Struthio camelus: one gene and its partner. The protein of the gene in region 1 purifies or fractionates together with the protein of each later gene. This does not show direct contact. Links are inferred from orthologs where the notes say so. Each region holds a gene or a part of one and is shown on either strand. Other genes may lie near its edges.

Region 1 (11,932 bases):
GTCTAGACACAGTCCCACACAAAACACATGCTTCTTGATTACTGCTCAAAATGAAAAGTGGTTTCCAATGAAGGTGACTAAGGTGGTGCTTTGATTAGCATTCTATCATCTTCAGTTTCACTCACTTCCTTAAAAAAAGCTTGGCAAGCTTTTGCAGGTGGTCTAACACCCCTGGTTCTTAGAAGCCTCTCTGAGAACTACTGTTACTTAACACATATGGAGGGGAAGGAAGAGAACAACCCAAGAATATAAGAGTCTCTAGCTCTTGTAGCTAGAAAGGCAACCTACAAATGGGCAAACATGAAAAACCACCTCTGTTCAAGCATGGTTTGCAAAAAGAAATAGGAAAGCCACCAGCTGCAATCAGGGGGAAAAAAAAGCAGTGAAGTAACTTGTTACTTTAAGCACCTGAGTATTTTACATCACACTAAGGAGCTCAGAGTACCTCTGTTTAAAAAAAAAAAAAAAAAAAGTACAATTTACTCCTTTGTTGCCTGCTACCACATCCTAACATTACAGAAAAGGTAAGTCAGTAGCATCAGCTTCAGTGCTTGCTAAAGTTATTTCACTCAGAATCTGAGCTTCCTGTCCTATCATTCAAATCTGAATTTGACACACACGCCTCATGTCATCTTCTGGCAAGCTGATCTCAATCTATTCAAAGGCCTATGCTGCCTGCGCTGCAAGGAGATGAGGGGTTCATCCCGCCCCCTTGTCACTGTACAGCTTCCCTGCTCTCCCCTCCGTTTCCCACCTAAAAGGGAGAAAACATACAGCACTCCTGACCTACATCATATCAAGAATTAACCACATGGCCTGAACACAAAGGAACATCTGTAGCATCAGAAATGCCCCCCCTCCCCCCGCTGCTTCACTTAGCTAAGGAACTCTGACTCATCAAAACCTCGACAGGAAAAGCCAGAGAACACAACCTTTTTTCACACAAGCTTTTTCCATTGGCCAAAGCAGAACGTTTGTACACAGGGACGCAAGAAGTTTTATGCATTGCCTCCCCTGCTCCCCAAAGCCCTATTGTCTTTAAGATACAACTTATGCTCTTCCGCTCTGTGCTAATTGAGCCATTTATGCCTGATACTTTAGACATGAACCATCATTAGCAAGGAAATGGGAGGGGTGCAAATCAGCAGTCAATTTCAGCAGTACCCTGTTCTAATATCACCTACCCCAACAAGCAACGTCAAGTAAAAGCCAAGATAAGTTAAGTAGTCTCCAGAGGCCCAGTCTGTTCCAACATTTATGTCGTCATCAACCGGGCAGAACAAACAGAAAAATTATTGTCCTGCTGTCTCATGAGACAAACTTCAGTAAATATATTAACCAGATGAGTCATGCCAGTGACTATTCCTATTGGATTGGAGACACTGCTCTGAGACCGTACGTAGTTTTAGCAAGGGACATAAATACCCTCTCAGGAGCTTTCTCACTCCCTTTCACAAGCTCTGCTCAACCTTCTATCTGTAATCAAAAGTAACTGGCTGCATCAGTTGAACAGATCCTCAGCAACTAGGACAGTACCATTTAACTTTTACTAAGCAGCCACAGTTACTGATTGTGAACACTTCTTACTGGGATTCAGCAAGCAGACTGCTGCTTCATAGGCTCAAATTCCTGCAGGCCTTCCTCTCTGCACATGAAAAGGGATCTAAAATTTGCAAGGCTTCTCATCATCAAGGTTGAAACGCAACCATCCACATATTGTAAGCTTTCTCTCAGTAACAGAACCAGTGTCTCCCCTGCTTCTTGTGGAGCTGCTTGAAGACCCAGGAGCAGAACTGGCTTTCCAAACTCTAGTGTTGTGTGACCAAGCAGCCCTTCCTGGTTTTTTTCCCTGGTGCTGTGCCAACTAAGAAGTGTCATCTCCTGCAATTCTGCGTCTGGAATATTGGCATGTCTGTACTGTCAACCTAGACATCTCTAGTAGCTGTCAAACACATGAAGGAACAACAGATTGGACACAGCTCTTCCCTAGAACAACTGGTAACTTCAACTGTCCGTTGATAGCCTGGGTTTCTGAAGTGTACTATTTTGCTGCTTTTGGCATGTCAGGATACCCCCAGGTTGTGGGACTGAAAACCACAGGTACAGAGCACTCGTCAAAGACCCTCCTATTCCATTACACTGCTTTGAGAAAATACATTGGCTAGGCCAGGGGTTTTCTTTGGCAAAAGGCATATCCTGTCGCTTGCCCTTGCTAATAAAAGTGAGGACAAGGGATTTTGGGGGTGGTGGTGGTGAACATATTAAAAAGTCTTAAGATAAGGAATGCTTTGATTTGCATAATTTCCCCTCAGTTGATCCACTAAGGAATAAGGCCTCCTAGCTTCTGACAGCAGAAAAGCTTAACTGGGGTCCAGGCATTAATATTGTTCTCTAGAAACAACTCAAACATACACTAACGATTGTACTCTACACACATGTAGCAAGGCAAATATAATGAAACATGCTGCTGTCTACAGACAGCTTCCAGGCAAACACAGAGCACAAATGAAATCCTGTCTGCTTTTCTCCAGTTCACACAGCCTTTGATAGATCTGCTATTTGGGCTGAAAGACATACCCAGGCAGCTCAGGCCCCTCCCCTCGCCCTATTACCATTTAAAGTAAAACAGATGCTCTAGTCAGCTTCTCTTCAGAGCCATAGATGCAAGCACTTAAGAGAGGTCTGTCTGTGTCACACACACTTACTGTCTCTTCAATGCTAGGCTTCCATGGGAAAGAAGAAAGGTTTCCTTTCTGGGCACCCTAAGTCAGGACAGGTGCTTGCTGTTCAGTTTTGCAATCATATGCAGTCTTTTCCAACTTCTTGCTCTTTCACATCCACCTTTTTCAGGGTATCCCTATTACAGCATGCTTTCTCACTGCCAAATGAGCCAATCTTGCGACTTTCTAGCAGAAAGCCTGAGGCAGCCACACATTGCTGTATTACCCCTCATGTTGGAGGTTCAGTTTCAGGCCAAATTGCTTATTATACACATAAGCTACTTAATTTCTAATGAAAGAAAGATCTAGCTCCCACCGGTCAAGTCAAGACAGCCTAAACTCCCCCATGAAGCCTTCTGCATCCTAGTCAGGAAAGCTTTCTAAGGCTTCTTTGATGAACTAGAGCAGCCAGAGGACTTATCAACCTCCCCCCCCATATTTATCTCTTAGATGATCTCGTACAGTGCCTGTTCCTTCCAAGTTACTGCTATCAGTTAAACCACCCAGTAGCCTGAAATACATTACACTGGGATACTGAGCTTGATGTATGGTGGTGGCGTGTGGTGGTGGGGAACGCTCCTCAGTCCCCTTTCACAAATAACTGCCCTTTCAGCTGCATTCACAGTTCTGCTACTCACGTCAATGTTGCCACTGCTATACAGCACTGCCTGACACTGTGCTGTCCTGATCGATATTTGAACAGCACTTCAGAAATGCAGAACAACTGTAAGCAGCAAGCACCATCAAGCAATCTTGGTTTGGACTGGGGAACAATCGTGGTATCCCTGTGTCTCTAGGAACCTTGCAGTTATGCTGTCTTCATGGAAGCAGAGAAATTATGAGTTTTGCCAGGAAAGAGTCTGGAGCAGGAAGAAAATCTATTCCCCGTCAATTGTGCAACATCTAGGAGCAAGTATTTGGAGGGGAAGAGACCCTAAACCCCTTACAAATAAAAACTAAAAACCCACACAGAGAAACTGCTGTTTCGTCCAAACAAAATCAGAGCAACCCAAGAGGTGTTTCTGCTCCCCACACTGCAAAGTTTGCTACTGTGATCAAAAGCCAGAGTATTGACTTCTGCTTCCAAGAGCCTTCAAATACTTATTTTTAATTCAAAAAATACAATCTGAATTAAGGAGTTCATTTCATTGTGGGTTATAATATAGAAAGCTAAAAGGAAACAAAGTGCCGAAACAACTCCTCACTCAAGTATCTAGAAACTGCTGCACAGCAGCCTGGGAGACTTTATCACACCAATTAACCGGAGGGACACGATAAAGTCTTGAATGATCATCTTCCCCAGTCCATCAAGTCTTATCACATTCTCACTGGTACTAATAAGCAAATGAGCACTAATAAGCAGGGCCTTTTAGCCTGTCACCTCCCCCTGGCGCCTCATGCCTCCAGAAGTCTAAAGTACTCTTATAACGGCCAAAAAGATATTAGAGCAGCCACGCTTTCAAGCCGAGCTCCAAAAGGGCAGCCCACTAACATCACTACCAGAGCACATTTCTGTTCCCATGCTGACAAGAAAACTGACAGGCTAACCTTCAGCTTGGAGCATGCTTTCACCAACAGCACGCGCAAAGAAAAGGAGGGCTTATCACCCCAAAACTGTAGGCGAGAGGTTTCCTACAGGATAAGCTCCGGCAAACTTCTGCCTCATGCCAGGAGGAGGCATCGCTCAGCTTTCAAGAACAGCACCCAACTCCCACCCTCTGCTCGGCCCACGCAGAAAGAAACCACGCAGGGGGTGAACGCAAGGCGAACGCGACAAGCCTGGGCCGATGAGATTTGGGAGACTTATTCCTAAGAGCTCAGCCTTAAAAAACGAAACCTATTTATAGGCGCCTATTTATAATATACCCTAACCGCTAGCTTCAACTTTTAAATAAGTATTTCCTCCACCCTTTCCTCCCCACCCCCGGCTTTCCCCGGGGCAGAAACGCCAAGTGCTGCCCGGCACCGCGAACCACGTCTTAGCCCTCCCCCACGGCCTCCCAGGCGGGCGGGGCCCGCCGTCTGCCGGGGCCTTCGTGCCGCCTCCTCTCCCCCCCCCCCCCCCCCCAATCTCCGTTACTTCCTCTCACGGAGCACGCGGCCCGCCCCTGGGGCGCTCGGCACCACCCTCCAACGGCCGCGGCAGCCGTTGGCGCCCGCTAGAGCGCCGGCCGCTCCCCCGCCGCTGCCGCCACCACCGGCGTCAGCGGCACCAAGCCGGCTCCCCGCCCGCCTCCCAACCCGGCACGGACCCGGCCGGCGGGGCATGGAGGGGGGAGGGAGGGTAGCCGCAGCCAGGCGGCCGCCCGCTCTGCCCCGGCCGAGCCCGCCCGCGGACCCCGGCGGCGGCGGCTCCTTGAACGTCCCACTCCCGGCCGCACAGCCCACGCCCCGGGCACGCGCCGCGCCGCGCCCCGCTCCGCCCCGCCGCGGCTCGCGCCGCGCCCCAGGGGCGCCAGCCCGCCGCCGCTCCGCGCCCCTGCTCCCGGCGGCCGCCCCTGCTCACCCCTTTGCCCATGGTGCCGGGCGGCTGCGTGCGGGGCCCGCGGGTGCTACTAGCGAGGTGCGGGGGCTCAGCGGCGCCACGTGTCCCGGCCGGCGGCAGGTGCGGAACAATAGCGGCAGCGCTCCGCCCGCCCGCCGCTCCGTCGTCCTCCTCCCGCCGCCGCTGCTGCTGCTGCTGCTACCGCCTCGCCTTCCTCTCCCCCCGCCCCCCGTGCCCCCGCCGGCGATAGCTCCTCGCCCCTGCTGCAGCCACCCGCAGCTCCGAGCGCGGCCGGCTTCCCGCCGCATAAAGAGCCCTCTCCGCACCGCCCCGTCGCGTCGCGCCGCGCCCCGCCCCTCGCGGGCGCCCAGCCAGGAGAAAGGAGGAGGAGGAGGAGGAAGGGGGAGCGGGATCGCTGCCAGCGGGCCCGGCCCCTCCCGCCGGCCGCGGCTGCCCCTTGGGGCTCACCTTGGCTGCCCCGGCCGCCGCTCCCGGGGGGCCCCCGGCAGCCGGGGGCGCGGCGGGCAGAGGGGCGCGCAAGAAAGCGAAAGCGGTGCGGCGGGTGGGGAGGAGGGAGGGGGCGGCCGGCGGGGGGCGCTGCGGCCCGGCCGCCGCCGCCCCGCGCGGGGCCTCTCGCGGGGCCGCCGCCGGCGCCATGTCGGGTTGGGTCGGGCTGCGCCGGGCCGGGCCGGGCCGGGCTGGGGAGGGGTGGCTGTGTTCCTGCCAGCTGCCCCGGCTTTCCCGTGAAATCTGAAGAGATTGACGTAATTTATCGCTAATGGCCGTTATTCACCGTCAGTGGCAACTGCGTGGTGACAGGAGCCTCCAAGGTCACGATAGGAACCAGCCGTCCTGTATCCTTTACGTTAAGTAAACATTGAATCGCTCCCCGGCGCTTGAGAGCCGCAGGTTGAAAGAGCCTTGCGTTAGAAGTCCAACCGCTCTCCGCTGATATCCCGACAGGACATCAAAAAGCACCACAGGGAAGATAAGCCAGAGAGTTTCCCCTGAAAAACGCAACCCTAGAGGCATGGGGGCTTGATTTGTCCTGCTTGAGTGGGAGCACGCCGAGGGGAGCCGTGGGCTTCCCCACGCCACCGCTCTTCCCCTCTCTGGTTTCCGTGGGGCCGCGCGGAGGGCTGCGTGCCTCACAGCTGCTTGCCATCGCTGGCCTGCAACCGGGCTGGACCCAGAGGAGCGGGACGTGTTCGGTTCCAGCCCCCGCAGCTTGTCGTGGAGCATGCGAATTTTAGCAAAGCATGTTCTGGTTTGGATATCTGGGGTGACGTTTTTTGCCGCGAGGCTGGCGCCGCGCTGAGGCACCGTGCCCAGAGAGGCTGGTGTGTGCAGGTGTGTCCTTGCAGGTGTCACAGTCTGCCTGGACCAGGTTCTGGGCAACCCCGTCTAACTTTGAAGCCAGCCCTGCTCTGAGGATTCAAGACCTCAGGAAGGCCCTTTCCAACCAAGTCATTCTCTGCTTCTCTGCTATCACATTGGGTGCTTGGTAGGCTTGGGTTACGTGTTGCCTGAAATGCTTCAGACTTGCTAAGCTGAGGTTAAAGCTCATCCTGTATGCCAGTAGATGTGAATAAACTTGACAAAAATAGCTCTAAAGGCTTTAAAGTTCAGTAATTACTACAAATTGTGATCAGGACTCAGCAAAGAGTTACGGGAGAGATTTCTGTGCCCTGTATTGCTCAGGAAGCATGACTAGGTGATCCTCATGGTTCCTTTTATACATAAAAATCTGAGAAAAGTTGATGGATGCCAAAGTTGCTACTCTGTGCCTGTGATCAGTTTGCTTTTTAATTCTGTCTTCATACACAAAGAAAACAAGCATCTGCTCTTTTTTTTTTCATGACAGCTTAACAGAGCCTACAGGACCTGGTATGAGCTGTGAAATACCCAGGGGACCCCACCGCGGAGGTGTTTCAGTAGCCTCTTCCCCATGGGAGGGTTTCCCTGCCGATGGCCCCAAACACACTGGATTAGCTGTTGGGGTGCTGAGAACATTTTTGGAGAGAAGAGCTTACATTCAAGTAGTTAAGCACCATGCTAGTAAGCAGGGGCTAAAACCCCCCTCAGCAGAAGACAACTTCAGCCTTTCAGGTCCTGGGTGAGAGCTTTGTGATCAACCTGTTTGCTAACAGACCCTTGTATGCAAGGGGTAGGGATGCCACTACAACCATCTCCTTGCTGGTTGTGTCTCAAAAGAAGATGGGAGGCTCCACAGCATTTGTGAAGCTTGGTCCTTCACTCTGCATTAGACCTGCTTTGACATTTCACACCTGAGTCCATGCAGACAAATGTACACTATGTTTTGGGATTCCAGCTGGGCTTACGAGTGGCTTTGCCTGCTCGGTACTGAGGCACTTCTGAGACTGAACGCAGTGAACTTCAAAGTAGAAACTTTAGAGTGGTGAGCTCAGATGCAATTTTAGAGGGCAAGGAAGCAGGTTTTTTTCGAGTCCCGTTTTTAGCGTTCTGCCTAAGATCCGTTTTGTGCTGCTGGTGGTCTTTATTGGACCTGGCACTGTTTTGACAGACTTGGAGACAGAAGCTTTCCATTTACCTAGAAAACACATGGCGCCTGGGCAGCAGTCTCCCTCCCAAGCTGCACCATCTTGACCCCAAGGCAGAGCTCTCATTTAGCTCTCATTACTCATCTTTGAGGCTTTCTTTTAAGACTTCCCATAAAGGGCTAGATCTTGCCAGCTGCAGGGAGAGGTATTAGGAACCGGTTGGGAATTTCTGAACTGAAATCACCTACTCATTTCATTTTCACTCCTTACCAAACTTCAGTTTCTTTCAATGTAGCTGTGAGGCATCTTCCGTATGACATTTTAAAAAACCCCTCCAAACAACTTCCAATACATTTTGCCCCTTGAAGTGAAACAGCTTATGGCCTGAACAGTATAGCTGAGTTGGAGCAGTGTAAATTTGATCCATCATTTGCTTTGGGATACTCGACGCGTTGCCATTTCTTCATCATGTGAAACCGTCATGTGCAACGGTGGTGTTGTAAACTTACACCTACGACTTCTTTCAGGAGAAAAGCGTATCCCAGTTCTCTTACTGGCGGTGATTTAAAGTAAGAGCAAATCCCTAGGGGCCAAAGGAAAATTCATTGTGTAAAACCAGGCATAGAGGGTAAAGTACTTGTATTCTCCTCCTGAAACAGGTGTAAGAGGGATTAGCTTAAGAAAAAATAGGAAAGCTCTGGTTTCAGTATCTACAAGCAATTACAAACTCTTTTTGATAACGCTGGCAGGGTGGCTGAGAGAAGTAGGGATAACACTCAGGGAACTTCACTCCTGCCACTGGATTAAATCCAGCCGGGTTTTAACACCTGAACATTCTTGCTTGTGTGTCCTGCTCAATTCAGGCTGGGAGTAATTGTGAATCTTTTTTGAAGATTTGATGCAATATGCTTTTTTTCCTTCTGACTGTTCGTTGTTTTTGGCGCAGTTGTGGGCTGCTCAAATTCCAGGGGTAGGTAGTGCTAGATGCAATGAATGGAGATAGGCATTATGAAAACAGTGCAAGGCATTATGTGAATGCCTACTGCTGTTATTAATAGCATGTACATCATACAGTCCTTCTGTAGCATTTTTTACTTTGGGAACCTGAGAGTGTTTTACACCAGGGAGTTTTATTATGCCCATATTAAGGATGGGAAAGCAGAGTCACAGTGAGAAGGTGGTAGGCGTGTAGAATAGCTTCAGCAGATTCTAGGTAAAGAGTCCAAGGATCAGAAAGCCCTTTGCTCTTGCTGCTGGATATAGCAGCTTCCACTCAGGCTTATTCCTGCTTTCGCTAACAAGCGGCATGTAGCTGAACACAGAAAAGCAAATCTTCTTTGCCCCTTTGCAGCTGCCACAGCCTAGGGCTGCATTTGCTGGGAAAGCTAGGACGTTAGATCCCCGTAATGGATTCTACCTAGAATAGGAAAGAATCCCATCTCCCGCCTAGTATTGCTTTCTATGGCATCCCCTGTCTCCACCAGCATTTTGCATGTATTGTAGCGAGCGCCACACTTTGGCCTTCACCTTGAAAAGCTTCTTCTTTAGTGGCAATTAGGTTTGTGGACATTGGAGCATTTTCCCTCTGGACAATGCAGTGCCATTCACTTCAGAGGTGACATGCTCCTGCAGCTCCTACTTCCTCAGCAAAACAAGGGAATGCAGCTGGACCCAAATAAGCTGTTTTTCCTCAGCCACTTGTCCCTTATCTCTAGAGTCTCTAGAGGATGAAGTTACCTACAGCGCACTAAAGCAGGCAACAAAAGCAGCCGCCGTGCGGATAAGGTGAGATGAGTTCCACCATGAGGCCTCTATATAAATGAGGTTTAAAAAGGCATCCAAAAGGGATTCAGGCTTTTTAAAGGGTAATTCACTTACCAGGGGACACAGAGAACACAAGGTGATTGTATGTAACTGTATTTCTATCGACCTTCCAGCTGTAATTACAGGTCTCACACTCCCTGCTGGCTTGTCTCCTGGCTTTAATGAGATCACCTTAGGAGATAAGGCTAGGATACCATTAAAATGACCGGGGAGAGCAATATCTAACTATGGGGTGAACAAAGATCAAGATCCACTACATCTAGTCAGGCTTGGCTGAGTTTCTTCATGTACTTTTTCCCTCCCTCTGGCTGATGGATACAAACATTTTGCGTTGTTGACAATATTTCACATTTTTCTGAAGCCTTTCAAGTAAATCCTTCAAATACTGTTGCAAAAACATTACAATGGATCCTTAATGGCCCTTTGAAAATTAAGTCTCTGTCCTTTGCCATTGCACATAAATGGTATAACCTTCATTCAAAGTCACGGCATTGTGGGTTGCAGAGGCGAAGAGCAAAAATATCAAGCATTCCAGTCATTTTGAGTGCTTTAGTGTTGTGCTTATACAAAATTCCTAGGCACTTGCTGCTTCTGTAGGTGGGAACTTCAATTGCTCAGCCTTTCTCAATAGTAAGTTCAAAGTGTCTCAGCCTGAGAACTTCAAAACTGTTTTTTTCTTGTTTTACTGAAGAGGAATCAGAGGTTTACTACAGTCATGCAGCAAAGTAGATCAAAGGATGAAATTGAGAAGAGCTTGGTCCCTGCTCTAACTGCTAGACTAAGGGTTTAAAACTGCTGGGTCACAAATTCCCGAAGACTACTTGTAGGGGGGACCCTGTGAAAACAAGGAAAGCGAAGCCATTGACAAAAGATTAAAATATGCTATTCAAGGATTTGCATTTCTTCGGAAAAAAAAAATGTTTAGAAATCCACAAATCAAAATAATAAAGGCTTAAAACTATTACTTTAGACAAAGCTGTAACAGGTATTTATGATGTGACACTTTTTATATTTTAAGCCCATAATATATCATTCCATTTTTAGTTGCAGACACTGTTTTTAATTCCTCTTTGCCAGTTAGTTATCTAGAAGATAAAGCAGCTTTGAAATCCCCAGACTCCCTGGAACCACAGTTTATATCTCTCCAGGGTTTTGTGCGCTTCATCATTCCAAAACAGATAAACCAAGTACCATGTAGCTTACTTCTTCTCTATGAATCTTTTGAGAATTAGTGGCCCGATGGGAATGTTTACAAGAGCATAGGATTAAGGCAAAAATGTCTTCATGTACCCTTTTTCCCCCCGCCTTTTGCACCTATCTATATTCCATGGTTGGGAGGTGAATGCATCTAAGTGCATATACAAGCTGGTTAAGAATGTAGGGTTTTTTATAAAACATACTTCCAGTTGTTTTTTGACTAGCTGAGATGGCAAGTGGGTGTATTAGAGATAAGTAGAAGGGAGATGAAATTACCTACTTCTTGCTCTAGGCTGAATGGGGAGAGAGAAAAACGTGTATATTGCTTTTATGAGAAAAAGGTAAGCTATGTTTGGCTCCTACTATGCTACAGATACGTTTTCAAGCATATACAAAATATTGCTAAAAACTTACCTTAACAAAATTGCGTTAGAAAAATATGATTCCTTCAAAGAGGAACACCCCAAAATGAGGATGTGCCAAAGTCCAGCCTCCGCTCTTTCCATCTGTCTGTGTGCACTATGATGCCGTCTTCGGTTATAGTGCACTGCTTCGTTCCGCATGCAGGCGAAACGCTGCTTGATGAATGAGAGGGAGCAAGCTTTCATATTCAGAGGTTTATCTTTATTGTTCTACTCCTTGCCTTATTCATTTTACCTAGTCCGTTTTGTCCCCCAAGGGCAGAAAGCTATTTCCTGTTCATACCTACCTCTGCACTTTATGTTCCCAGTTTACATGAATTGTAAGTCAAATCTGACCAAAATGCAGTGCATGGTCTCAAGTTCTGTGAAATCCTGGACCATTGGCTGAACATGACAGAGCCAGTGCAATCCCTAAGACTGCAGGAATGATTGAATGGAGTCACGTAAAGCGTGAACACCGGCCAGATTCTCTGCTGGTGGGAAGGGAGAGATGACACTAATTCAAAGGCAGCTCACTCATTACTACCTCAGAAATTGTAGTTCTACATTTCAGGATTCAGACAGTTTGTAACAGTCTTCGCTTTGGCACTTCCATGCCGTCTTAATGCTTCATTTTACAAGATTAATGTGTTCTGAGTTTGAGAGCACTTTTAACAGAGCTGTCTAAGCTGTTAACAGAAAGGAAAGCAGGCTCATAGACATCCTCGCTGATTGTAACCTGTCTGAGGCTGCACCTTAGATACGTTTAGACACTGAGGTCAG
Region 2 (11,374 bases), on another chromosome or scaffold:
TCATCTCGGAGCTCAATTGTTTGGACAGAGTGTTCACCTGAAGGTAGCCAATACACATTGTAAATAGAGAGCCCACGAGACAGTGGAGTTAAACCTCTGATTAAGTGCTGGACTCAATCATCATATCATCGGAAAACTCTCACAGAAGAAAGACTGAGGAAAAAGCCAAAGCCAATGGTAAGTCTAAATGGATTTTCCAATCTGTCTGAAGGCAGTGGAAGCAGTAGCTCTATAGCCTTTTAAAATTTGCATTCTGGCACAATTCTAATGTTTCTGGGCACACAAATTGAGCCCAGCTTGGCTATAAAGTTCATTTCACCCTGTATCACAACACAGCCAGAAAGAAAACCCCAAGATGAAACCTTGCAGCAGGTTATCAAGTAATCTGCTCTTAAGAAGTTTCTTCTTCAGCCTCACCAATACATGTTTTAAGAGCTTCTAAGCTGTTTTGTTCAACAGAATGGACCCTCTCCTCAGCCACTTTGAATCGAGAACTTAATGTTCAGTGACACCTTGTGCTGGTGAGAGAGACAAGTCAATTTGGTACAAATAAAATATTTCCAGGGGGCACTTCCCAGTATGTTCTTTTATTATATGCCCCGATTCTCATTCTCAAATTTCCACTTTCAAATCTGACTGGCAGCAGGTTAGGAAAGTTCTTAGTCTTCAGTTACCAATTTTCAATGCCTTCTCTGTACTACCTGTATTCCTGCTCTTTCCTCTGATATGCCTATTAATCACAGTCAACAAAACCGCACCTTTGAATCTGGTGTGCTGAAACGTACAACAGCGACATCTCCTTTGATATCACAGCTAACGTGGGTTCTAGCTGGAAACAAACGGAAACACTTTATTAGCTTATGTTTAGTGGATTTTAGGAAAGAAAAATCAACTCACATACAAAAGCTTTACGCTTACCCTGAAGAACAGTGGAGGTGGAGATACCACGGCAAGCATAACCTAAGGAAGAGATGTTGCAGATGTTACAGGCATTCTCGGTAAGCTTTTAAGGTGATCTCAGCTCAGATCTTAATATACTCTCCCATCTTCCCTTATCTGCCGAGGCCGGTGTTTCAGAAAATCCTGAATACCGGCCAGTTCCTTCTGCTATGGCTCGACCTGTGCCACCACCAGAATTCAGTGGACTCCATGCTACTGAAGTGACATTGGCAGGACAGATCCCACACGGGACTTTCCAATAACAGGAATGCCAAACTGAGGGCAAAAATCAAAACCTTTTTACTAAAGAGCTGACAACAGATTAAGCAGGGGACCTACGGAGGGGTTTTGACATTAGGCGTGCACGGTTCAACACTTCTTCACATGCTAAATTAGAGAGACCTTACCACCCTTTGGACACTTTCAAGCCTGCGTATAAAGTTCTCCCCAGACTAAATAGAAATGTCCTAGAATATCTCTGCAAAAATGCACTACTATGCCTGTAAATGTTGGCATTCCAAGTGTTATTGCACAGATCACAGGAAACATAGCTGTTAAGCCACAAAGAAACAGCACACAATGTTTATTCTCTCCTCCACAATCTATCAAGGCAATGGTTGATCCATCTCTACAAATTACATACGCAAGTACCTAGACAAACTTGTCTTGTTTTGAAACTTGCTCTGAAAAAACAGCACGAGGGATGACCAAAATCTGTATAACAGTGAAATGCTACTTTACTCGCACAAATATCCCAGATTCCCCTTTCCTGCCAAGAATTTGTATTCTGCCTGATGATCTCTCACTACGCAAGCGAGTCTCAGTTCTGTTCAAACGACCTTGATCTTGACTGAGAGGATCACCCAACGCAGATCTAGGCTGAATCTCTGCCAAAGCTGTTTGAATTCTCAAAGTCTAAAAGTGTTACTTCTTAAGCAACGTACTGTACACCTACCAATTGGAACACAGCCATTTACTACGCAGCACTGGTAAAACGCTCGGGGCTGAAACAATCCCTGTCCCAGCAGCAAGAAGGCAGAAAACCCAGGAGAACGAAAACAACCTTAAAACCTTGGCCTGCACCTCGCAAACAGACACGCTTCCCTCCCCACAGCCCCGGGCCACGGGCTCGGGGCTAGAGCTCCTTTGCACTTTGACCCTCTTTCCACTTTGTCACAGGTGCTGGCACTGGGGAATGACCTTTGCGCTCCATTCCCCAAGCCCAGGACACCTGGCAGGATGCCACGGGCTGGGGATGGAAACTGTGTGTCAGTCCGTCTCAACAGACTTCTCTTTGATGGGAGCAGGGGGTCACGTACTTGCGATACCATTTTATAAACAAAGCGTGAACTGGTTTCCACTCCAAAGCGGCTTTAAAATATTTATGGGCCTGAACAAGGCCCAGACTGCAATTACTCAGGTCAACATTAATTTCCTTAGACTTTCTGTGCACTAAAGTCGGGTACTCCTGGAACGAAGCACCAGCTCTCATTTTCCACAAAACAGAGCATTGTCTGCCAACAGTTTCTCCACTGACGTACGCACCTCAGCAGAATCCGATGCACTTCATTGGGTTAAAATACCACAATTAGCAAGCCACCCACAGAATCACAGAATGGTGGAGGCTGGAAGGGACCTTCAGAGATCATCCAGTCCAACCCCCTGCTCAAGCAGGGTCACCTAGAGCAGGCTGCCCATCCAACTCCACTACATTAGCCAGGTGAGCACTGAACAATCCTACTGAACGTCTTCACTTTAATCCCTGTATTACTCCATAGTGACAGGCATGGCAGGAACGAGAATCAGATCAAACAAACATCCCAGCTGCAGATCAAGTGATAATGCTTTCCTCCCACACCCTCAGTCAGGCACCTCCTAAAGGTGGGGTGGGGGAAGGAAAATTTTCCAAGAAAATTTTAAACCTTGAATTCCACTTTACCTTTCAGTTTTAAAACAACAGATACAGAGCAGGAAAAAAAAATCATCAAGGGCAAGACAGAACAAACCTCACCGCGTTTCAATATAAGCTCTTTTGGGAAACGTACTGCTGTTAGAGTAACAGTTGCTTATTATTTGAGTGAGGTTTTTTTTTTTTAATTATAACTTTCTGTGTGTTTTTCTTGACAATATTTTATTTTAGGGTCCAGTATACTCTTGGAAAACAATTTCTACGTCTAAAATTAAAAGCACATTTATGCAGTCACAGTACAACTGCTTTAGGTTTTGATTTCATTCAGAAGGAGCTGTGATAACTTGCCAAGATTGAAGCCAGAAAAAACCTCTTCCAAATTCTGTAGGAATAACAGCAGGCCAGATGTACATTTCTGCCATTTTATTAATGTTCATTCTAGAACTAAAAGCCCTGAATATATATTCAATTTTCACTATTTCACATTCTTTGCTCTTTGGACAAATGAAAGACTGTCTGTACAAAGGAACACCAAACACTTCAGAAAATTGTTCTCAGGATTTAGCAGAGAGCTTCAGAAGCAAGCAGGGAATGGAAAAGCCCCCTTTCAAACAATCTGGCTGGGACCTGTTTCGTCCCACTTTCTCTTTCCTCTGTCACTTCCTTGGCTGCTTCCTTGTCCTGCACTTCCCCTTCCTGCCTTTCCATTCCCCCCGAAGCAGCACATCACTTGAAGGGGGAACATCGTCCATAGATGGTTCACGAGGAAAGGCTTCTTGTAGTCCTGGACTGGGCAAGCGCCAGCAGAACAGAAGAGCTGAAGCTCACGAAGACGGCTGTACCTGCGAGCTGATCGCACTGAGCACTGAACTGCGAGCCGCAAGACGGGAAACTTCCAACAAACTGAGCTATTTACTACCACCTCTGGGAACCTGTCAGCATATGGTATGATATATACATAATATACATATACATACGGAAGAGCAGGTAAGGCTAGCTCTTAAGCTTGCACGGCCTTCTGCCTACTTACTGCCTTTTGCAGTTCTTTTTTGGGCTGCCCGTGATAGATTCGCATCCGTTTTGGCAAATACGTTGTTACGGAAGAACAACACGTAGAAAGACTGCTATTAATTATGTCGCATGACGTGACATTAGCCACAGATAGATAGACAGATAGTCCTGACAGCGTTCCCGGAACAAAGTATTTGTAATGAAGAATATTGCCAGTTATAATGAGAAGCCCACAAGAGGCTGTTTAAGCAATCTCTGGAATTACTACCGATCTGCTCGTTATCAGTTGCAGTGCTCTGCTCTTCTAGCGATGAAGTCACATATAAACTTGCTCCAATCCTGCATGTAAAACAGGCATTAGGCTTAAATGAAACACTGCCTGACTTCAGCTCTACATTGACACCAGACCCTAAGGCCCTTCAAAGCAGAGAAATAAGAGCTTGTTTCTAATAAGTCTTAACCTTAGGCCCTCCCCAGGGGCACCTTGCAACTCCTTTCTTTGGTACCTCCGGGACAAAGCACCAAGACTCAGCCGCCAGCAGCCATCGCGCCCAAGCAGGAGGGGGCTCGGGCTCAGTCAGCAGATGGCAACGGAGCAGCGGTCGATGACCGGGACGCTTCTAAACGTGACCTAGACGCGGCCCAAAGACAGCTGGCGAGGCCCCTGCAGACACAGGCACGCATGGGGACGGTGCGTTCCCTCCGCCACGCAGGGACACGGGGGCCCCCTCCCCTCAGGGCCACGCGCACAGACCCCCAAGGACAGAGCTGTCCCCCGGGGGGGCACGCACGCACGGGCGGGGGCAGAACACCCCTTGCCGTGGGCACGCGTGGGAAACCGCTCCTGGGGGACAGCCGCAGGACACCCGCGCGCAAGGGCATGGGGACGCCCCCCCCCCCACCCCGCCACGCACGGATACTGGGGACACGCGCAGCGTGCCAGGACGCGAGCGCACACCCCCTCCCCGTAGGGTCAGCTCGCAGGGCTGCAGGGACCCTCTAGCCTAAAACGTGCCCGCGGGCGAGGACATGGGGACGCCGCCCCAGGGAGGCGCGTGGGAGCACGTCCCGCGTGGGGACACCAACACGTGCAGGCACACCGCTGTCCCCCAGGACGCCCGCGCACCTGGGGGATGGCGGGGGGACACCTGGACGCCCTCCCCCCCGGGCAGGTACCGGCTGTTGGGACACCAGCCGCCCCAGGGACACAGGCATACGGGGGCTGTCCCCTCCCTAGAGCCCCCCAGAAACACGAACACCCGTGGATGCCTCCTAAGAAGACCCCCCCCTTCCTCAGCGACACCTCCCAGTGACACCTAATCCCTCACAGTGACACATACATACATGAGCTCAGTAACCCCTGTCCCTCACCCCCCCCACCCCGGGGACACGCACGCGCGTGGGCACCCCCCCGGGGACACACACACGCGAGGCCCCACTTCCCGGTGCCCCCCCCCGTGCGTGGCCCCACCGCCAGGTGCTTTCCGTGCCCCCACAGCGCCCCTCAGTGACACGCACACGCGTGGGCACCGCCCCGGGAGGCCGCGCCTCCTCCTCCTCCCAACCGCCCGCTCGCTCGCTCCCGGCCCGGCGGCGGGGCCCCACGCTGCCGTCGCCGCAGCTCACCCGGGGGCCGCTGGCGGCGGGGCGGGCAGTGCTTGGCGGCGGCCATGAAGCGCCCCAGGCTGCCGATAGCGCGCACCGCGGCCGCCATCTTTGCTGCGCGCGAGGTCGAGTGAGGGAGAAGCGTCGCGGGCGCCGCCGGGGGCCTTCGGCGCTCCCTGTCCCTCCCTCCCTCCCGGCCCCGCCCCGCCCGCGCCTGCCCGCGCCGCCAACCGCTCCCCCTCCGCCGCCAACCGCTCCCGCCCTCCTCGCTCCACTCTTCTCCCCGCGGCGCCTCGACCGTCCCTCACCTCCTCCGAACGGGAGCGGGCGGGCGGAGCGGCGGGAAGGCGGACAGCCGGGCTGTCAGGGCTGCCGTGTCGGTCAGGCGCGCGTCGGGGCAGCCCGCGCGGGGCGGGGGGAGCGGGGTCCTTCCAGAGTGGCAGCGCGGTGGCGGCGGTGGTGGCAGGAGGGCGCAGGCGGCGGCGGCGGGGCCGGGTCGGGCCGGAGGTGCGCGGGCGACGGCGGCGACGGACCTCATGGGGCGGGGGGGGGACGCGGGACGGAAGTGGGGTTTGCGGGTGTGAGGCGTCCAGAGGTGTGTGAGAGACAGCGGCGTGTAGGTCGGTGTGGGGGTGTGTGTGGGGGGGGGAGTGTGTGTGGGGAGGTGTGTGTGTACGGGAGTGTGTGGGGGGGGTGTAGGGATGTGGGGTGTGTGGGGAGGGGAGTGTGTGGGGGGGGTGGGGGGGAGTGTGTGTAGGGGGGTGTGGGGGGGTGTAGGGATGTGGGGTGTGTGTGGAGGGGAGTGTGTGGGGGGGTGTGGGGAGGTGTGTGCGGAGGGGGGTGTGGGGGGGTGTAGGGATGTGGGGTGTGTGTGGAGGAGAGTGTGTGGGGGGTGTGTGTGGGGTGTGTGGGGGGTGTGGGGAGGTGTGTGTGTAGGGGGGTGTGGGGGGTGTAGGGATGTGGGGAGTGTGTGGAGGGGAGTGTGTGGGGGGGTGTGGGGAGGTGTGTGCGGAGGGGGGTGTGGGGGGGTGTAGGGATGTGGGGTGTGTGTGGAGGGGAGTGTGTGGGGGGGGTGTGGGGAGGTGTGTGCGGAGGGGGGTGTGGGGGGGTGTAGGGATGTGGGGTGTGTGTGGAGGGGAGTGTGTGGGGGGGGTGTGGGGAGGTGTGTGCGGAGGGGGGTGTGGGGGGGTGTAGGGATGTGGGGTGTGTGTGGAGGGGAGTGTGTGGGGGGGGTGTGGGGAGGTGTGTGCGGAGGGGGGTGTGGGGGGGTGTAGGGATGTGGGGTGTGTGTGGAGGAGAGTGTGTGGGGGGTGTGTGTGGGGTGTGTGGGGGGGAGTGTGTGGGGGGGGTGTGGGGAGGTGTGTGTGTAGGGGGGTGTAGGGATGAGGGGAGTGTGTGTGGGGGGGTGTGGGGGGGAGTGTGTGGGGGGTGTGTGGGGGGTGTAGGGGGTCTGTGTGGAGGGGAGTGTGTGTGGGGGGTGTGGGGATGTGGGGGGGAGTGTGGGGGGTGTGGGGATGTGGGGGGGTGTGTAGGGGTGTGGGGGGTGTAGGTGTGGGGGGAGTGTGTGTGGGATATGGGGGGTGCGTGTAGGGGTGGGTGTGTAGGGGGGTGTGGGGGTGTGTGGGGTGTGTGCGTAGGGGGTGTGGGGATGCGTGTAGGGGTGTGGGCAGGTATGGGGAGTATGAGGGTGTGTGTGGGGGGGTGTGAGGGGGTGTGTGTGGGTGTGTGGACATGCATGTGCGCCCGTGGTGTTTGTGAAGGGGTGTTTGTCACGCGCCAGGGCTGTGGGGTGTGAGTCGTGGGTGTGTAGTGCGGGGGGGGGGGGGCGGTGTTAAGCGTTAAAAGCGTGGCAGGATGAGGCGCGTCTTATCCGGAGGCAGCTGAAGAGCAGGAGCAGCAGGGGCCGGTTTGGCCCTCCGCAGGAAGAAGCGCGGCTGGGGGTTTGTCCGCAGGGAAGCCTTGCGGTCCCGCTGCGGAACGAGCACGGAGAAAGCCGCTGGGGGAAGCTTTTGGGGTGGCGGTGGCCAGCTCGTTCTGCTTCCCGTGGGGATACGCCACGAAAGTCACTGAGCTCAGAGTCAGCAGTTGAAATTCAGGGCAGCGGCACGAGGTTGCGCCAAGGAGCGCGCGTTAGGAGAGTCATGCTGGCGGGGAGATTGGCTGGGCTCTGGGACAATTTTCCAGCGGGGAAGTGGTGGAACGGGTATTGCGAGGGGAATCTAAAACTGTGCTGGCTGCTGCGCTGCTGATAGTGATAGTACAGTGCTGGGTCATCAGCGAGATGACTGCTTATTTACAGCAATGTTTGCAAGCCGCAGTCATAAGTCAGACTTCTCACGTGCTAGATGCTGTTCAGAAAGTACAACAGAATGTAATTCCCTGTGCTGCTGCACTTGACTGCCCTTGATGTGTCTTCTCTTCCTCTGCTTTTTTGGCTCTGTGTGAATCAAGCAGTATGCTTACCTTGAAATTGTTCTGAATAAGCCAGATTGGACTAATAGCAGTCTTTCTTCACCTCTCTAGACCTCAAGATGACTTCCATGCTGACCCATATCATCAGAAACCTCCCTGCTTCCTCAGCATGGGCTGCCAGGGTCTGTAAGTATCTTTATGTTCATTAGAGACTTGAACTGGTAGGTCATAAAGTTCTCTTTGTTTTAAGCATTACGTTTGGCAGGGACACTTTTGTCTGAATCTCTGTTACGTTATGGTTTTTTTTTTTTTTTAAACAACTAATTCTGTTGTTGACGTATTTGTTGTTTCCCAGATCTCCCAATATGGGAGGAATCTCATGTTAACTGGTAATATGTACTATGTTGTTTTTATGAACACAGTAACTTAAAAAAAAAACCTTGCAGATATTCAGGTGCACTTGTATTGGAACTTCTTTTTTTTTAACGTTTCTTACAAAAATAAATAGAAATGTTTTTATAATTATAATTTGATAAATGCTCCTTTTGTGGTTCTTGTTTTTCAGCTGCAAGATCACTCAGCTGCTCTTCACAGTTACAGGCAGCAGGTAAAGTGAAAGCTTCAGTGGGTTTCTATTAGAGACTATTTTTGAAGCTGCCTCCCTTTTCCAGATACTCATTCTACATAGATCTCAGAAACACAAGGCAGACTTCGTTAATTCTAGAGGGCCCTTCTAAAGTTGCAAAAAAGTAAAGCTACAGGCAAAACAGTGTTTCCAATAAAGAGTCCTCTAAACATCTGAATCTCCCTCACCCCCAACAACTGTGCCTGGTCTGAAGCTCGTGCCACATTGTCACCTGATAGATTGCTATTTCTAGGATCCTAGACAGAGAGGCTAAGCTAGGAGGTTATAAGCTGTCTGGTTATAACCAAGTCTCTTGCCCGGGAGGGGTGGAGGTTGCCCCTGACTAAGAGAGGCTTGTGGAATTAGCTCAAAGGTCCAGTAAGACCTATGAGAGGCTCAGGTCTCAGTAGAGCGGCTTAGTGTGCACAATTACATTGATTGTTAGATGTGTGTGTTTTTAAGCCGTTTGGGTAGTGTGGGGTTCTGGGATGTGTTCTGGGGTCACTCAGGTGACTGTGATGCTTTGAGCTGCCTGGATTGCAAAAAGACAGCAGCCCCCGCTTGTCTCCTTAGCTTCATCTGGAGAACCCTCTTATATGACTCAAGTTTAGTGCTGGAGTTTCATACTTGTGCTTTCACTTGCTTGAGCACAGTATTTAGCTGGATTTAATCTGCTTTTACATGCCTTTTCCTTTTCTGGCTTGTAAATGCAGCTGCCTCATGCTGCTGTGTCTGCTGGTTAAGAATTGTAAACCTGACTGCATTAGGAAATTCTCATTGAGCTCCTTGTTAATCATCTCTCTAGAACAGCACTGACAGTGGTGTATTAAATGATGCTGTATCATGGCGTTGCTTTGTCTCAAACCTGAGATACTCCCAGGCATTATGAGGGAGTAGCAAGCTACCCACAACAGCTTTGTGCCCTCTTTTTGCTAGTACTTTCCTATGGAAGTGAAAGTTAGTTGACTTCTTGCACTGTGTTTTTATTTACTCTGAATTATCTCACCTTTGCTGTGCAATAGGAGCACATAAGTGAGCAATTGCTATGGAAGGTGGATTGTTTCCAGTCCTTGTTGCTTCCCGAGTGAAAGACTTTGAGGTCTTACCCTGGTTGCTCGTCTTTGAATTTGGTCCGCCTCATTTATATCCTAAGTCATTCAGCATTCTTGGAGGTGTCTTTTCCTGCGATATTTTTGTCAGTAGTAATGGAGTTTGAGGATTATGTTCCTTTATTCTGAGCTGTGCCATTGCCTCGATATAGCTATGGATGAATCTCTCTGCTGATGAGGGAAGCTGAAATTCTGTGTTGTTAAACCATTTTTCACAAACGGCATGCTCAACCAGACAGGGACAAGATTTTGCCTCGCATCTCCTACCTACTCTACTTTTGTCTTATGCACCAAAGGGGACTCTTTCCTGAGTTTTCTAGTAGCTCTAACAGGATCTGGCTTTAAGCTTGCTCATATTCTTGGCAATAATTACTTAAACTTCTCTCTAAGCAGTCCAGCCGAAGAGTAAGAAGACATTAGCCAAAAGTGGCGTGAAGAATATTGTTGTGGTAGAGGGTGTCCGTATTCCATTTTTGCAGTCTGGCACCTCGTAAGTATAAAATAATAAGAAAATACTTTGACTGGGTTAATAGTAGAATCTTTTGGTGGAAAATGTGGAATATGGTTTGCTATGTTGATTTCAATATAGTTACTTTTGTACATAAAAATACTAAGATGGCAAAGTTAGGCTGCTGACAGTTTTTCCAGCTTATATTATGAAAAAACGTGGCTTGAAGAAGATTGGCCATGAATATGAATTCAAAGGAGAATGCAGATTTGTGCTGCACATCTGGAGGAGCCCATTGATGCCCCTGTAGCAGATAAAGCAAAGCGTTTCACAAAACTAGCAGGACAGGGGCGGAGAATCTGCTGCAGACTCTTCTTATTAGACTATTATACCACCAAAATCACAGCTAAATTAGGACCAGAAGGAATATCTTTATTCTATTACTGTTGCTTTTCAGTGCTTTAGTATAGTGAACGTATGCTGACTTACACCTAGATAGTCTTTGTAACCGCAGCTATGAAATGTTTGCTTATGAATGCACTGTCCCTGTGATTCAGAGCATTTCTGGTGTCTTCACCAGTTCTGTGCTGCTGGTGTGCACTTACAGTGAAGAAGACGCCTGCGTTGGTTTCTGACACTAAGTTTCTGCCTCTCTCCTTGAACTTCCAGGTATGCGGATCTTATGCCACATGACTTAGCCAGAGCAGCATTGCAGTAAGTAAATGGACTGTCAGAAGAGCCCAAAAAATTGTCTTCTGCTGGACTCCAGGGTGCTGGTACAGTGACTTCAGCTAAGCTGAGAGCCAAGGTTCTAGTTTTGTTGCTAAACAATACGATCCAAGTGATTCATTTTTCGTGGTCTGCCACTGCCTTAGTAGGGGGTTCAATCAGTAGAGCGTACAATAGACTCGTGCAAAAGAGTATTGTTAAAAGGAGATTGCATTGTTGTGTTGTTTGACTTAATTTCACTTGATTTGGATTCTGACTGTGTATGGTTTTCTAATACAGAGGTCATAGCTACTATCTCAGTGTGCCTAAAGTTCAAGACAGAGACATCTAAGTGACATGGTGATTCAAAGACAACTAAGTGAGACGGAGAGTAACAAGCTAATTCTGTTGTCTTGCACGTTGCTTCCATCCTGCTGTGATTTGACAAGAGCTGTAGGTCACTAGCCGTGTTTTTTTAATTAAGAAACAGGGCAAAAACAGGACATGCTGTCGAGAAGAGTACTGTTGACAAGGCATGACTTGGGGGGCATGGAGATTTCAAGTCACAAGGAAGGATTGTGAGGTGTGGGGTTGGGTGCAGTCGTGCC

Evidence for each region.
Region 2: the proteins of ATP1A1 (region 1) and HADHB fractionate together in Homo sapiens (co-fractionation; 3 studies listed by BioGRID, with this or other methods). This does not show direct contact. The link is inferred for Struthio camelus from reciprocal best matches to the Homo sapiens genes ATP1A1 and HADHB.

Annotation. Positions count from the first base shown.
Region 1 is NC_090942.1:93,471,752-93,483,683, forward strand, and holds the start of ATP1A1 (sodium/potassium-transporting ATPase subunit alpha-1), read right to left. Parts: upstream 5,539-11,932; 5' UTR 5,239-5,538; coding exon 5,227-5,238; intron 1-5,226. UniProt on the Homo sapiens protein: This is the catalytic component of the active enzyme, which catalyzes the hydrolysis of ATP coupled with the exchange of sodium and potassium ions across the plasma membrane.
Region 2 is NC_090944.1:1,812,964-1,824,337, forward strand, and holds the start of HADHB (trifunctional enzyme subunit beta, mitochondrial), read left to right. Parts: upstream 1-5,582; 5' UTR 5,583-5,844; intron 5,845-5,849; exon of another isoform or gene 5,850-6,084; intron 6,085-7,302; exon of another isoform or gene 7,303-7,404; intron 7,405-7,987; 5' UTR 7,988-7,995; coding exon 7,996-8,062; intron 8,063-8,441; coding exon 8,442-8,483; intron 8,484-10,000; coding exon 10,001-10,100; intron 10,101-10,727; coding exon 10,728-10,772; intron 10,773-11,374. Other genes in the region: HADHA (trifunctional enzyme subunit alpha, mitochondrial), read right to left, coding at 1-37, 759-829, 919-960, 5,486-5,573. UniProt on the Homo sapiens protein: Mitochondrial trifunctional enzyme catalyzes the last three of the four reactions of the mitochondrial beta-oxidation pathway.